Linked DNA regions of Tamandua tetradactyla. The protein of the gene in region 1 interacts with the protein of each later gene in a biochemical or structural test. Links are inferred from orthologs where the notes say so. Each region holds a gene or a part of one and is shown on either strand. Other genes may lie near its edges.

The links. The genes of interacting proteins can lie anywhere in the genome.
Region 2: the proteins of SMAD3 (region 1) and NEDD9 form a complex in vitro, tested with the Homo sapiens proteins (2 studies listed by BioGRID). The link is inferred for Tamandua tetradactyla from reciprocal best matches to the Homo sapiens genes SMAD3 and NEDD9.

The regions. Positions count from the first base shown.
Region 1 is NC_135340.1:84,247,176-84,254,924, reverse strand, and holds the start of SMAD3 (mothers against decapentaplegic homolog 3), read right to left. Parts: upstream 3,004-7,749; 5' UTR 2,975-3,003; coding exon 2,769-2,974; intron 1-2,768. UniProt on the Homo sapiens protein: Receptor-regulated SMAD (R-SMAD) that is an intracellular signal transducer and transcriptional modulator activated by TGF-beta (transforming growth factor) and activin type 1 receptor kinases.
Region 2 is NC_135351.1:14,456,212-14,463,396, reverse strand, and holds the start of NEDD9 (enhancer of filamentation 1), read left to right. Parts: upstream 1-4,173; 5' UTR 4,174-4,363; intron 4,364-4,402; exon of another isoform or gene 4,403-4,618; intron 4,619-5,082; exon of another isoform or gene 5,083-6,243; intron 6,244-7,185. UniProt on the Homo sapiens protein: Scaffolding protein which plays a central coordinating role for tyrosine-kinase-based signaling related to cell adhesion. As a focal adhesion protein, plays a role in embryonic fibroblast migration.

The sequences.
Region 1 (7,749 bases):
GAGCATGTGTTCTGGAAGCCTCTAGCATACGGCTATAATTGCCAAACGCTGTGGCTGCTCGCGATTACACATTAGCCAAAGTATGCTTGTCATAATCCCCTTGGTCTGAGGGCTCCTTCAACCCCGGGCCCAGATGGCAGAGTGTGCCCCCACAAGCGGGATGACCAGGTTAAACAGTTCCCCTTGTCTACTTTCCAAAGCCCGAGTTTGAAGAGGCTACGTGAAAAACGCAGACAAGTTGACAAGCAGCTCCACCGTCTAAGGGGCTTAGCAGACACTCCAGTATCACTAGCACGAGGCCGCCAGCCACCTACCCAAGACGTGGCCTTTAGTTTTCTGCCCACGACCAAAACAGCAGTAGCTGTTGCCAAGGGAAACAAGGTGACCCAGAGACGCGGGCATGAAATCCGCGGATGGAAATCCATTCTGTCTGGATCCAACCAAGAAACTGGGCTTCCCTAACTGGGAAAGGATAAACAATAAAAATAAAAAAAAAATAAAATAAAAAAGTACCTTAGCAATAGATCCTTGCCAGGCAGGTAAAAGGTGCCCCAGTCCTTAAGAAGGAAAAAGCTCAGGAGCAGGTTAGCCCGAACTACCAAGTGTTGACACGGCTCAGCTTTGGAGGGCTTTGGAAAAAGAAAAGGCAGGCCAGAGCTATGCCTCTCCAGAGGACAAACTCTCACCAAGGCAAGAGAAAGCCAGGCTGCTTCTCCAAACTGCAACCTGCCCGAAGATTAAACACGAGCACCCTTATTAAAGGAAGCACCAACCCCCCTTCAGTCCCCCCACCCCCCACGTACACGCATAACAGTGATTTAAGCATTCTGCAAATAATTTATTCAGAACCTTCAGAGTACAAGGCAGCAAAAGAGCACCAGATATCTTTGCCCACTATGTCAAACCTTTTCACCTTTCTCCTCCAAAGTTTTCTCAACTTTAAAAATGAGAATCTTAAGCATAACTGCTTTATCTATTTTCCAGAGGGTTCTTTCTCCGAGAACCTCATAAAACCATGTGAAAGTGCTTTGTAAATTGTGAAACACTTTATATAGCTGCTTGTTGTTACAACTGACATCATTTCTCTGCTGTAGCCCATAAAGCATTTGTCCTTGATGTACCTCCACAAGTAAGGAGAAAGCAGGTTTTGCAGACCCCTCTCTAGGTCGGGGAAGGATGATATCTAATCCCATCAGAGGAATAAAGAGGAATTAAAAAACCAGAGCTGAGGCCAGAACCCAGGTGGCTCTGATCATCACATCACACCACCTCCTCTGAAGTCAATTCTAACTTCCAATCACACACCCAGAGCGCACTTCCAGACAGCACACCGCCTTCCCTCCCCCTTTACTGACTGGATCCACCCAGTTTTTTTAAAAAAATTATTATTTTTAAAGTCAGCACTCCCACCATATGTGGCATTTATTTCCAAAGGAGGCCTGTCCTGGGTTCCCTTGGACAGATGTTGCTTTGTGCCTGCCTGACCCGGCTGGCAGCCCCTGCACAGCTGCCCCAAGCAGGTGGCCAAGGATGGAGTCCACTCCAGGCCCAGGAGCAAGGATGAAAATCCCTCCCAGAATCAGGCCCTGGGGCTCCTCAACTTGTTCCTCTGCACTCCACTCCCTTGGCCTTGGTTCAGAATAAGATTTCAAAGGGGTCTGGGAGGGAGAGACAGGAGGCCAAGGTGGCCCCCAGCACCCCATCCCAATTCCCAGCCTAGCATAGATAAAGGGAAGGTCGTGGGGAGAGGAGAGAAGTCACTGACCCCTTTCTATCAGCCATCTGTGAGCTCCCGCCCGACCCAGCTTGCCCGATGCGGGGGATAAAGGAGGTCCAAACAGATGGCAAAGCGCTTTGGGAAGGAGGGCTCTGCAGGAATGCGAGGGCCGATGGAGGCCCACTTCGGGTTGCGTTCTGTTATCTGACCGGCTCTAGCCCGCTCTGTGTTCTGCTTCACCCCGCAATCTCAGACTGAAAAGGAGAGCAAAAGCAGTCCGGGATGGGAGAGGGTAGGACAGGAAGCCCCTACTCTCTGCCACTTGTCTCTCCCATTTGAAAGTCAGAGCACTGCACTGCAACTTAAAAGTGCATGCTTGCGGAGGGGGCGGGAGGCTGGCACAACCGAGTCTAAAAATACTCGATAAAAATGCTAATCCCGAAGGCAAAGAGAGAACGAAGAAGGAATCTGTCAATCACGAGGCTCCCGCTCCTCACCCACAGCCCCAGCTGTACGGACTACATTCCTGTTAAGCAGGAAAGAAGAGGGGGCACAGGACTGAGGGGAAGAAAGGGAGAGACACCACCACCTCCACGAGCGCGGGCCGCGGGGCGGGAGGCGGCGGCGGTGGCGGCGGAGGAGGGGCTCGGGCCCGCCGAGCCGAACAAAGCGGGCCTCAACTTCCAGCCCGCAGCAATCCGGGGTGGGGGCGGTCAACGCCAGCAGCCCCACCCCCACCCCAACCCCTACTTTCTGAGCGGCGAAAAGCGCACGTGAAGTCTGGAAGCGAGAGTGCCGTTTGAAAGCATTTCTGAATAACTGCAAATTCAGAGAGGGTTTTGCTTGGGGGTCCCCCATCCCACCCCCCTCCTGTCCGCGCTCTCGCTCCCCCCCCCCACACACACATACACACACATACACACACACACACACACACACACACACACACACACACACACACACACACCATGCCTCTCCAAACCCACAGAGCCGGCCTCTCCGCGCCAGGGGGCTGGGCCCGGCGCGCCCCCCAGGCCCCCCAAGCCCCCACCTGGGGATGGTGATGCACTTGGTGTTGACGCTCTGCGTGGTGATGGCCTTCTCCAGCTCGTCCAGCTGCCCCGTCTTCTTGAGCTTCTTGACGAGGCTCTTGACCGCCTTCTCGCACCACTTCTCCTCCTGCCCGTTCTGCTCGCCCTTCTTCCAGCCCAGCAGGCGCTTCACGATCGGGGGGGTGAAGGGCAGGATGGACGACATGGCTGAGGGGAGGCTGGGTGGGGGTCAGGGCGCGGGCGGCGAGGGGCGCCCCCGGCGGGGCTGGGCGCGGCGGGACGCCGGGGGCGCAGAGGGGAGCTCTGCCCGGCCGGCCGCGGCCGCCCAAACTTCTCCTCAACTCCGGGCGAACTTTCTGGTGCGCCGGGCTGGGCCGCGCGGCGCTGCAGCCGGCGGGACTCGGCGTGCGCCCCAAGCGGCTCCCACGGCTGGCAGAAGGGGAAGGAGGCGGGCAGGAGGACGGCAGCGGCGCCGGGTCGGGCAGGCCCCGAACGCCGGGCGGAGGAATCGGCCTGGAGACTCGAGTGGCTGAAAAAAGTTTGGGTTTCCGCACGGGGTGGCTGTTTGGGTGCCGCCTCCGGGAAGGAAAAGTCCGACCCCTGAGCCAAACTTTGCTCTCCTCGCCGGCTCTGACGCGCAAATCCCTCGGTCTCTCGCGCCTCGCCTCCCCAGTTTCCCTCCTCCTCCCTGCTCGCTCGTTCGCTCGCTCGCTCGCTGGGCCGGCCCGGTGCGTGCGCCGCGCTCCCGCTCCCGCCCGCTCCCAGTCTGTGTTTCATGCAAATCCGCGTGCAGCCTCCTTTCCAAACGCTGTCACCGCCCCCTCGCCGCTGGGGCTCCCCGCCTCCTTCTCCGCGCCCCGCCGCCTTCTCCCCCGGGCGCCCTGCCCGCCCCTGGCTCGGGGAGGGCTGCCGGCCTGCCCCCGCCCCGCGCCGAGCAGGCCCACGTGGGCGGCCGGGGACCGCGGCGGCCCGGGGCTGGAGCGCGCGGCAGTCCGCGCGGCCCCGACCCGAGGTCGGGCGGGCGCGGGTAGGAAGTCGTGGGAAAGGAACAAGAGGGGGCCCTAGGCGGGAGGGCCGTGGCGTCCGCTCTTGGAACCCTCTCCCGGGAAGCTCAAATGAAGTTGCGGCCGGGGGAGGAGTAGACCCGCTTCAAGTTAGCGCCGTCTGGCCCGGGGCTGGCGATGCACCCCTGGAGACCCGGGCCCGAGAGGGGGCGCACTTAAGGCTGAGGCCGGCGAAGTCAGGACGTGCACTAGGCCAGCCAGGCTGACCACGGTCGGGGGCCTCGCAGGCAGGCTGGGAACTTCTAAAATTCACTCACGGGTTCGGTCACCCCGGGTGAGAGCCCTAAGCCTGTGTGCGGAGGCGGTAGTTGAGGGGGGTAGAAGATGACTCTTGCAAGTGGAGATTTGGGGAACCCAGTGACTCCCTAGGCTCTATCAGGAGCCAGGGATTCCTTGCACCCTGTGAACCAAGTGCCAGACAGAAAATGGGTTTCAAAGACATGTATCGAGTACATGAAGGAGTGAATGGGGGCGCTTTGAAATTTAGTTTTGATATAAAAAAAAAAAAAGTACACATTACAGGTCGTTGTGAGCTCTTATGATAGAGAAAAAAAAAAGATCTGAAATTCGACACCCAATAAATAGAGGGTGAAAGAGCTTTGTTTCCAAAGCCTGAAGTCATAAGAAGTGGGGCAAATGGGGAGTACTCCAGAAGTTTATGTGTTCAGAGTTAGCCTTAGTGGAAAGCAGAGAAATACCGGAGGTATTGGAGAGACCTGGGGTTTTTCTCCTCACCAGCAGAATTCAGGGGCCTCTGACCACAGACCCCTCAGCTGCTTTCAGGAGTTACCCCGGTTCCCCAAGGCTATCTCCTTCTGTGCTTCCCCTATCAGGCTCATAGCCTTTGTTTGTTTTTAACAGCAGGAAACCCCCGTGGTGAGAAAAAAAAAAGTTAGCGGCAAACCCTCAAGCAGGTGGGGAGTTACAAAGCCCAGCGAGGTGTGGCCGAATCCTCAAAGTCAGCCCAAGAGCTGCGGGTTCCGCAAGCCGGTCAGCAGCTGCTCCTGAGCTCTACACTCTTGCCCCCCCTCCTCCCTACTCCCCACCTGCTTGGAGAAGCCCTGAGCTCCCAACTGAGGCTTTGCAGCCTGGTTCACATTGCTGGCTGGCCCTCCTGCTAACCCTGTGACAATCACTGTCCTCTTAGGTTCCACTCCCTCGTTCTCAGCCCTCAGTTTCCCCATACAAAAAGAGAAGGAAGGCAATCAGCCTTTACTGATTGCTTTCTTCATTCCAGGTGACTCAAGAGCTACCCTCTGATTTAATAATCTTCACAATTTACAGAACCAGAACTGGAAGCACAGAGAGATGACAATGCTTGCACAGGGTTCCAAACTACAGAGCTGGGATTTGAAGCCCAGGCTTTGTGAGGCCTCAGTCCGCATTCTTTAGCTGCCTTGCAGAGTGGTGGAAGAAAGCGACATCATTGATAGAGCTCTTTGCAAAACAAAAGTCCTTTACACAGGTGCACTGTTGTGACACCGCAAGAAATATTTGCTTACCTACAAAATGGGATTAGAAATAGCTTTCCGCTCAACCTCCTAGGAAGGTTGTGGGAATCTAATGTAAATTGCAAAGGGTCAAGTGTCATAAAGGAGTAGAACTGACATCTTGGGGCCTTTGCGAACGCCTTCAGAATGGTGTGGATGAGGGAGTCCAGTTCAGTAAGATAAGCATTTATTTGGCCCCTCAGTGTTGCAGTCCTTCTACTCAGTTCTGAAATGTGGAAATGAAAGTAAGGGTCCCTAACTTCAGGGAGCTCATGGTCTAGAGAAGCATGAGGAGTGAGGAGTTCCTTAGTTGGCAAGGATGGGCAAAAGGGAGGCCTTTGCAATAACCATCTCCCAGGAAAATGTTCATTTTAACCTGGCATCAAATCAAACAGGTCTGACTATTGAGAGGCAGCCAGGTAAAGTGAAAGGAGCTGAGGCTCCATCATCCACTAACCTGGTTTTGGATCCTGGCTCTCTCTCTCTCCCTTTACTGAGTGTCCGTTCTCTGAGCTGTAAGAATGGAGCAAACAGTACTTGCTGTGCAGAGGATCTGAACATGGTAGAAGGGCCTGACATGAACCTACCCCTTCTGGGAGCTCCCTCTAAAATCACAGCATCAGAAGGGGCCCTCGTTCAGCCATTTTTTCATTTTCCTGAGAGGAGGAAAAAACTACTGGATAGCTAGTTAGTGTGGCTGAACCGTGCATGCTTCCCTGTGCTTCCTCCCTCAACATGCCGGCATCCGTATGACAGGGACAGCTGCTGTGCATGCAGAAAAACAGTCCTGGACTGTGTGAGTCCAAGTGAGGCTTCTGGGCTCGTTCTTTCTGCCCTGGCCTCAGGTTCTCAGAGTTGGGAGAATAAGTCCGGTTTCACCTGGTGCTGAGCAGGGGTTAAGAATTGATTCCCCCTAGTATGAAGAGGACCTTGCGTGCTCTCTTTGCTTTTGGTGGGGATGGGTGGGTGGCTCTGGACGGTTGGGAACTCCGTTCTGGCGCCTGGACTCCAGGGGCCCAGCCAGGCCTGCTTTTGCAAAGGTCATCCTTGGAAGAGAAACATTAGCCCAGTTAATTTTTCATCATGGTCAGTGCAAAGTTCAAGAGAGGTGGGATGGGGGTGGAGGCAGCGACTCTGTTTCCCTGGGAATGGTTAGTCCTATCAGGGAGGAACTTCATAAGTAGACGTGCCAAAAGGTTTTCATGTATTTGGAGTGGCTCCCAGGTGGAACACTGGAAAGAAAAACTGACTTCGATTCTGATTATTTTTTCCATTAGCCAAAGGGTATTTATCAACAGATTATGAATCTAGAAAGAGCATTAGAATCACTCTCCTCCAGTGCAAGCCCCTCCTTTTACACAGATGGAAAGTGACATCTGGTGAAGAGAGATGATTTGCTCTATGGAGGTGAGTAGCCAGCTCAGGAGTAGAACTTTCATCAGGCTGCTAGGACCTCACCTAAGAAAGCCTCTGTCTGCAGCCTGACCTCTCTCTACAGCCCACTGTAGCACTTTGTGAGCTCTCCTAGGGCCCCAAACAGATGTGTATTACATACACTTCTAGCTCTGTCCCTTCTAGCTCTGTGATTTGGGGCTTGTTCTTAACTCTTTATGTCTCTGTTTCTTCCTCCATAAAATGGCAATAATAACACCTACCTCTGAGGACTGCTGTAAGAAGTCCACGAGATAACCCACGTAGAGAGCTTGGCACGAAGCATATCGTCGGTTCTCATATACATAGATGTGGTTGATGCCTGTTGTGGAATACAATGCAGAAGTTAGAAGCAATGGATTTAGCGTACCCAAAGCAAATGAATGGATCTTAAAAACTGTTCTAAGGGGAATAAATAAGACACAATTAAATAACAGTGCTACTTACGTAAAATATATATATATATGTATGTATGTATACATACACCCAGGAAAGCACAGTATACATTTTGAAAGAACGCATACAAGCAAAACAATACACATTGAACACAATAGGTGTTTGCAGGGGGGTATCTGGGAATGGCAGGCGAGGTTCAAAGGGGAAAATAAATGAATTCGTACATCTGTAATGATGATGCGCTGTGTACCGATGTGTATGATGAACTTAACCCTCTGCTTTAAAACAGCAGTACTAAAAAGCTAAAAAGTGCTCAATACATGTCAATCATTATATCAGTTTTCCTAGTTTGTTCAAAAGACAGAACCTTTAACTTCCAGCAGTTGACAGCCAATGATGATGATATCTTGTATGTAGAGGAACCAGTAGAAGGTATTAAAAATGCCTGCCCCTCGCAGCCCCTACACTTATATAGGCTTTGGTGCTGCCCCACCTGAAAGCTTAGGGCACTGAGGGGCAGGACACTAGCACTGCCCGTGGGTCTGCTCTATGCCAGCCTCCAGGCCACGGATTCCAGGGAATTGATCTTGGTTAAAGTT
Region 2 (7,185 bases), on another chromosome or scaffold:
GGTCTGTCAATAGAGGAGAGTGGTGTATTGAGTCTCTTACTTTTGAAACAGGCTTTTCTCCCTTCAGTTTTGTCAATGTCTGTCTCATGTACTTTGGAGCTCCTTGATTGAGAGCATGGACATTCATTATTGTTATTTCTTCTTGATTAATTGCCCCTTTTAGTTCTATACAGTGCCCTTTTTTTGTCTCTTATGATGTCTTTACATTTAAAGTCTATTTTGTCTGATATTAGTATTCCTATCCCTGCTTTCTTTTGGTTACAGCTTGTGTGAATATCTTTTTCCATTCCTTCACTTTCAATGTATTTGTATCCTCAGTTCTAAGGCGAGTCTCTTGTAAGCAACATATAGCTTGATTATATTTCTTAATCCATTCTACCAATCTGTATCTTTTAATTGGTAAGTTTAGTTCATTAACATTCAAAGTTATTACTGCAAAAGCACTTCTTGAATCCACCATCTTATTCTTTGGATTTTATTTATCAGATCTATTTGTTCATTTCCTTCTTTCTCTTTTTATCATTTAGGTTACCCTTACTGGTACTCTTCAATTCTGTGCTCTCCTCCAGACCTCTCTTTCTTGTCTTTTTTTTTTTTTTTCAGCTGGCAGAACTCCTTTTAGTATTTCTTGTAGAGCTGGACTCTTGTTGACATACTCTTTCAGGATTTGTTTGTGAAAATTTTAATCTTTGCCTCACTTTTGAAGAACAGTTTGGGTGGGTACAGAATTCTTGGCTGGAAGTCTTTCTCTTTCAGGATATTAAATGTATCACACCACTGCCTTCTCGCCTCCATAGTGCTAGTTGAGTAGTTCCAACTGTCTTACGTGGTTTCCCTTGTATGTAGTAGATTGTTTTTCTCTTGCTGCTTTCAAGATTTTCTACTTCTCTTCAACATTTAACAGACTGATAAGTATGTGTTTTGTAGAAGGCCTATTTGGATTTATTCTATTTGATGTTCATTGGGCTTCTCTGATTTGCATTTTTATATCTTTTATACAGGTTGGGAAGATTTTCCCCATTATATCTTCAACTACTCTTCCTAGCCCTCTACTCTTCTCTTCTCCTTCTGGGACACCAATGATTCTTATATTTGTGTGCTGCATTTTGTCTGTCATTTCCTTTAGATCCAATTCAAATTTTTCCATGATTTTTTGTCATTTTCTCTTTTGCGCATTCAAAATCAGTTGTCCTGTCTTCTAGTATACTTATTCTTTCTTTTGCTTTTTCAAATCTGCTGTTGTGTGTCTCTAAGTATATTTTTTATTTGGTCTACAGTATCTTTAACCTCTGTGACATTTGCTATTGCTCTATTTATTCTTTCAAATTCCTCTTTACAATCTTCTAGTGTCTTCTTGATTTCTTTTATGTTATTAACCATACCACTGATTTTATTTAGTAAAGTTATATGAACATCTTTGATTAGTTGTTCCAAAGTCTGTGTCTCCTCCATGTTTTAATTTGGTCATTAAACTGGGCTCTGTCTGCATCTTCATATGATTAGTGATCTTCTGTTGTCTTCATGGCATGTAAATATCTTAATAGGGTTACTTTGGATGTTGATTTCTTTTAGTAGTCTCAAGCTTTGTATTTGCAGGACAGGTGCAGAGCAAGATGTGGGGTTTGGGGAGGGCCACAACAGTGCGGTGATGGGTTGCGGTGCAGGTATATGCACGGGTACAGGACTCTACACTGGTATCTGTGAGCATGGGCTGTGGGTCACAGTGATGTGGTCATATGTTGCAGGGGTTGTGGGGGTGAGGTGCAGGTCAGGCAGTTCTCGGAGTGCAGGAGCAGGGCGCAACTTGGCGGACACAGAGGTAGGGCACAGCAGGCGGCAGATGGGGGGGTCTGAGTGGATGCATGAGGGTTGATAAGTGGACAGGATGCAGGTAGGCACGTGAAGCATGTGGGTCATGGGTGTCAGGTGTAGGATACAGGGAACAAGTCGGGGCACAAGGAGGTTGGAATGCAGATGTGTCCTTGCACAGAGAGAGAGGTCCAGGGGGGCCAGGATGTGGATGTGCAAGTGCGTAGGGGCAGGGTACAGGTCCTGGAGGTTGCGGGACATGTGTGTTTGGTGGGTGATGATGGGGGTCCCTGGTGCGGGTGTGTAGGTGCAGAGGTGGGGTGGGGTACAGGTGCTTGCTAGTGCAGGGCGGAGGCTATGTAGCACAGATGTGTTGGAGAGGACCTGCCAAATGTGGGAGAAGGGCATGTGGGGTGGGGCAAGGTTGTGCACATGTATGAGGCAAGGGGAGTGAGGTGCAGGGGTCACGTGAGTGCCCAGCATGGGAGAAACTGGCTGTGCCGGTGTGTGTATCTGGGGGGCAGGGCCCTGAAATGCTCCTGTCTGGGGAGCAGGGCACTGGTGTGCATGTGGGCAGAGCTCAGGGCCACTGGCATGAGATGATGCCTGCTTGCGGCCCTGATGCTTAGGTCAGCACTTGCCCAGAGCTGAGGAGGCATGGCCTGAGTGGTAGTACGAGCCTGCATGCATCTGCGGGGCCAGAGGCTGACGTGCGCGTGCACGAAGCTCAGGGGGCTGGGGTGGAGTTGCATGACTGGATGGGCTGAGTGTGGATGTGGCCTGGGTCTGAAGGTGAGCGCCTGCAGCCCGAATGCGCAGTTGACTGCCTGCAGGGGGGAGGTGGGGGTCCAGGGGCTGACCACAGGTACGTGGGTCTCAGGAGGGGTGGGGCAACACTGTGTGCTTGCGTGCGAGAGGTGGGGTGGGCTGGGACAGAATTCTGCGCATGCACGGGGTGGGGGTCGAGAGCAGGGGTGCTTGGGGCTTGGCCGAGGTTGGGTAACGGGGCTCAGGTGTGTGAAGTTGGGGGGAGTTGGGGGGTGTGGGACGGAGGTGTCACGAGTGAGGGTAATGCGTCCAAGGCTCGCTGCTCGGCTTATTTCCTCCTCTCCATCTCCTTGTCCACGCACTCTTGATGACTCTGGGCCTTTGTCTGGCAATGGACGTGCTAAGCTGTTTGCATTAGCTGGCTGGTCTCTGGTTCTCTGCGTCTCAATTCTTCTGCTTTTTCAACTGTGTGGTGTAGAAGACCCTCTCAGGTCATCTACACCCTGGAATCACTCTCCCTAGACACCAACAAGGGGTAGGAAATGGGGAAGGGATGGGAAAAGCAAAGGTCTGAGCTGACAATATTTTGCTAGTAATCATAATAGCAAACTCATATAGAGCTGGTTGGCGATTGAATCATGCTTCCAAAAGGGTGTGTTCAAGTTGCAATCTTGTGTTCCTGTGGCTTTGAACCCCTTTGTGAATAGGACGTTAGAAGATATTACTATTCGTTAAGGTATGGACTCAGTTGTGCCTAGGATCTTTAAAGGACCTATTTAGATGAGGCTAAACTGATTTAGAATGGGACTTAATCCATATGACTGGAGGCTTTATAAGGCAGGGGAATTCGGATGCAGTCTGTCAGAGAAAGCCACAAGAGGAGACCCAGAAGGGGGGTTGCCAGGTGATGGGAGGTAGAGATGCAAGCCAAAGACCCCCAAGGAGACCACATAGCACAAGACCATTATAGACTCCAAGTGAAAGCATGGTGTGCTGAGTTCTTGATTTTGACTTCTAGTCTCCAAACCCATGAGCCAATAAATTCATGTCCATTAAGCCAACGCATTGTGTGGTATTTGACATAGCAGCCTGACAATCTAAGACAAATTCTTACTTGTTTGTTCCAAGCACCTTTACGTGCTTGACATACATTAATTCATTTAATTCTCACAACAATCTGTTAAGTTAGGAACTTATTTGTCCAATGAAAGAATGTTCCATGTCAATTTAGAGTAGAAGCCCCAGACACATATTGAGTCTGTAAAAACCACAAATTCCCAATTCGATTGGCTTGGAAATAGTCTCATTTTTGCCTCAGTGTAGCCTAGAAAAGAGTTCATGCCACCTAGAAAATAGATTCCACAGACTTTCATCGCAACTATAATTCAAAGATCAATGATCATTCTAAAAATGGAAAATGGTGCAGATGAGAACTAGAGTTCTTACCTGCCTCTAAACTACAAAGCTTCTACAACTTGAGCGACTCAGAAGTTCTGGCAGAGATAAAAATAAAGAAGAGGCACAGAGAGGAAATAAACGGAGACAACATCACTTCACAGCAACCGGAAGGAAAAGCATACACAGGCATTCGCCACTCACATCGCCCGTTTGTGGTTGTTCAGTAGGGAAATGCTAACAGCTGTCTTTAGCAGCAAGTCTGGCTGCAGCAGCAGCAGAGAGGCATAACCGTGCAGCAGAGCTGAGCTGTCATCCGCCGGTCTGCCCAGAGAGAGGACCAAGACACCACAGAGACAAAATGGTCCAGCAACTATGGTTCAGCTCCAGGGTGAGTTCTCAGCCACTCGTTGTGGCCACAGGCTTGGGGGAGGGCAAACTTGCTCAGACTCTGCTACTTCCTGAGTTGGTGTCAGACATCTGGGGGAGTTCCTTGCTGTTAGCACCCTCTAATCAGGGCAGAGAGGGACTCAACATGCCCCAAAGGAGGAAAGGATGACTTCAGCTCAACTTCCAAGCGATTTGGAGGCAGTGGTTTTCAATGCAGCTGCAAACTTGCAGAATTTTTACTTTTTAATCATCCCAGGTAGGTGCTTCCTGGTGTTCAAAGTGTGACTCCTCCCCTCTTCCTTCTGTCCTCAGAGGTCTTACCTGCAATGAATGAGCTTTAGCTCTTTACTCTTCCCCAAGTTATTTCAGGACTTCACAGTGTGAATAGTCATTTACACTTAAGGCTGAAATAGAGTCATGACATCATTTTCAGTCTCTCACGGGGTGACTCTTAAGAGCAAGAGATGGGGATTGAGGGTTGGGCTCTGTGTGTGTGCCCAGCTGTGCTGAGACTTGATTGTCAGGGGCAGGGACAAACGACCCCATGTTCTTCCTCTTCGCACAGGGCCACTCCAACAACTTCACTTTTGTTTTTCTCTATATTAATTCATCATTCATTCATTCAATTGTCTTCCACAAAGGATATATATAATATTGTATAATTTATATGTAATAGTCTTTATATTTATAAGATAAAGAATAAACTTTGTTTTTGGAATAATTTTAGATTTACAGAAAAATTGCAAAGATAATGCAGCGGATTCCCATATACTCTTTACGCAGCTTTCCCTTATGCTAATACGCTATACAACCGTGAAAACTAAGAAACTCACGTTGATAATTACCTCAACCACAGACTTTATTAGGATTTCATCAGTTTTTCCACGAATGTCTCTCTCCCGTTTCAGGATGCCACACCATATTTATGTCTCTTTAGTCTCTATGGATCTTCACAAAGTATGTGAGACAACATCTTTCCCTTGCTGAAATTACTTTAAAATGAATAATGTGTATTACTTTAAGAGGGGAAATTCATTCTATATATAGCTTAAAGCTCTGTGGAGACTGGTGAGCAATCTTTTCCCTCTGCTAGAGGTGAGGTGAGAGTGAATGCTTCTAGTCTGTTCAACCCCTGTTCGGGAAGCCCCTCCTTTCCACTCTCCGGCCCCCCCAGCCCTGGAAGCTTCTTTCCCACCCAGAAGTGGGTGTACTCTCCTTGACAGAGCCCTGGAGACCCACTAAGTGATTTTCCTCCTTGTTTCCTTTTTCCTCCAAGCTTTGTTAATTTCAACGATATTCCTGTTCTAAGAATGGGGCAAAGTGGAACAGTGGAAACAGAGGGATATGAAATCAATTTTGAATGAGAGTGCCACCAGTTCTTGTTAATTAGTTCAGTGAGTTATTTAATAATTTTCAACAGAGTCAGCACTACGGCTGTCACTAAGTCAAAACTTATGTAAGAGGGACAAAACCTAACTTTGCTCCTGCCTGCCAAAAGCTTAGAGTCCAGGGAAGAGACAGACATTAATAAATCATTACAAAAATGTATCATTTTAAACTGTGACGTATTGCAGGGGGATGTGGTCTCCTCGGGGAGTCAGGGAGGTTTCCAGAGAACACAGAGATGAGAACTGGAAAAGGCGACTTTTCCAGTCTTGTCTTCACATCCAAACTAGATGTTAAACAAGGCAAGGTGTGGGCTTGTGCTCCAGGCACAGAAAACAGCTGAAGCAAAGCCCTGAGGTAGGAGATCGCAGAAGAGTCTGACAAAATTAAGGCCCATGAGGTGCAAGATTGAAGAATAGGGTGATCCTGGGTGAGCTCAAGATGATCCTGGGTGAGCTTGGACCACGCTATGCAAGACGGTAGAGCCAGAGTGTTCTGAAAGAGGCGGAGAAGGTGGGGCTGTTGGGCTCTGATCTGTATTCCTTTCCCTTTTTTTTTTCATGCAAGAGCTTATTTCTATTTGTAGTATTAATCAGTGGGACACATGGCTCTAAACAACCCCTTTCAATCATATTCACCTTCAGTTATAATCCCACTAATGAATTACCATCACCTCCATCCATTCCCACACATTTAAGTTTAACCTCATTAACAAGTCTGAATATATTAGGTAACTGCTTCCTCTTTCTCTAACTTCTGTCTATCTGTAGGTTTCCTATATTCTACTTTTTAAAACTCTGAGCTTACATTTTCTAGGGGGTTCATATTAGTGAAATCACACAATCTCTATCCTTTTGTGTCAGGATTATTTCACCCAGTGCTATGTCCTCAGGGTTCATCCATGTTGTCATGTGCTTCAGGACCTCATTTCACCTTGCGGCTGCATACTATTCCATCATATGAATATATCACATTTTGTTTACCCACTTGTCTGTTGATGTGCGCTTGGGTTGTTTCCATCTTTTGGCAATTGTGAATGCTGCTGCTATGAATATCGGTGTACAAGTGTTGGTTTATGACATTGTTTTCAGCTCTTCTGGGTATATATTGAGTATTGGTATTAACAGGTCATAGGGCAACTCAATATTTGGTTTTTTGAGGAACTGCCAAACTGTCCTCCACAGTGACTGCACCATTATACATTCCCACCAGCAGTGCGTAAATGTCCCAATTTCTCCACATGATCGGCATTCTTAAGGGATGAATGGGAGCGACCAATTCTGAAGCAGGGAAGCCAGGTATAAGCTTGATGTAGTCATCCAAACAAGAGTGTCTAACGAGAAAATAGACCGGGGTGGTGGCAGTGGGAACAGAAGTGGACAAACTAAGTCATTTAGAAAGGAAAATCAACAGGGCTTGGTGGTGGAATGGAAAGGA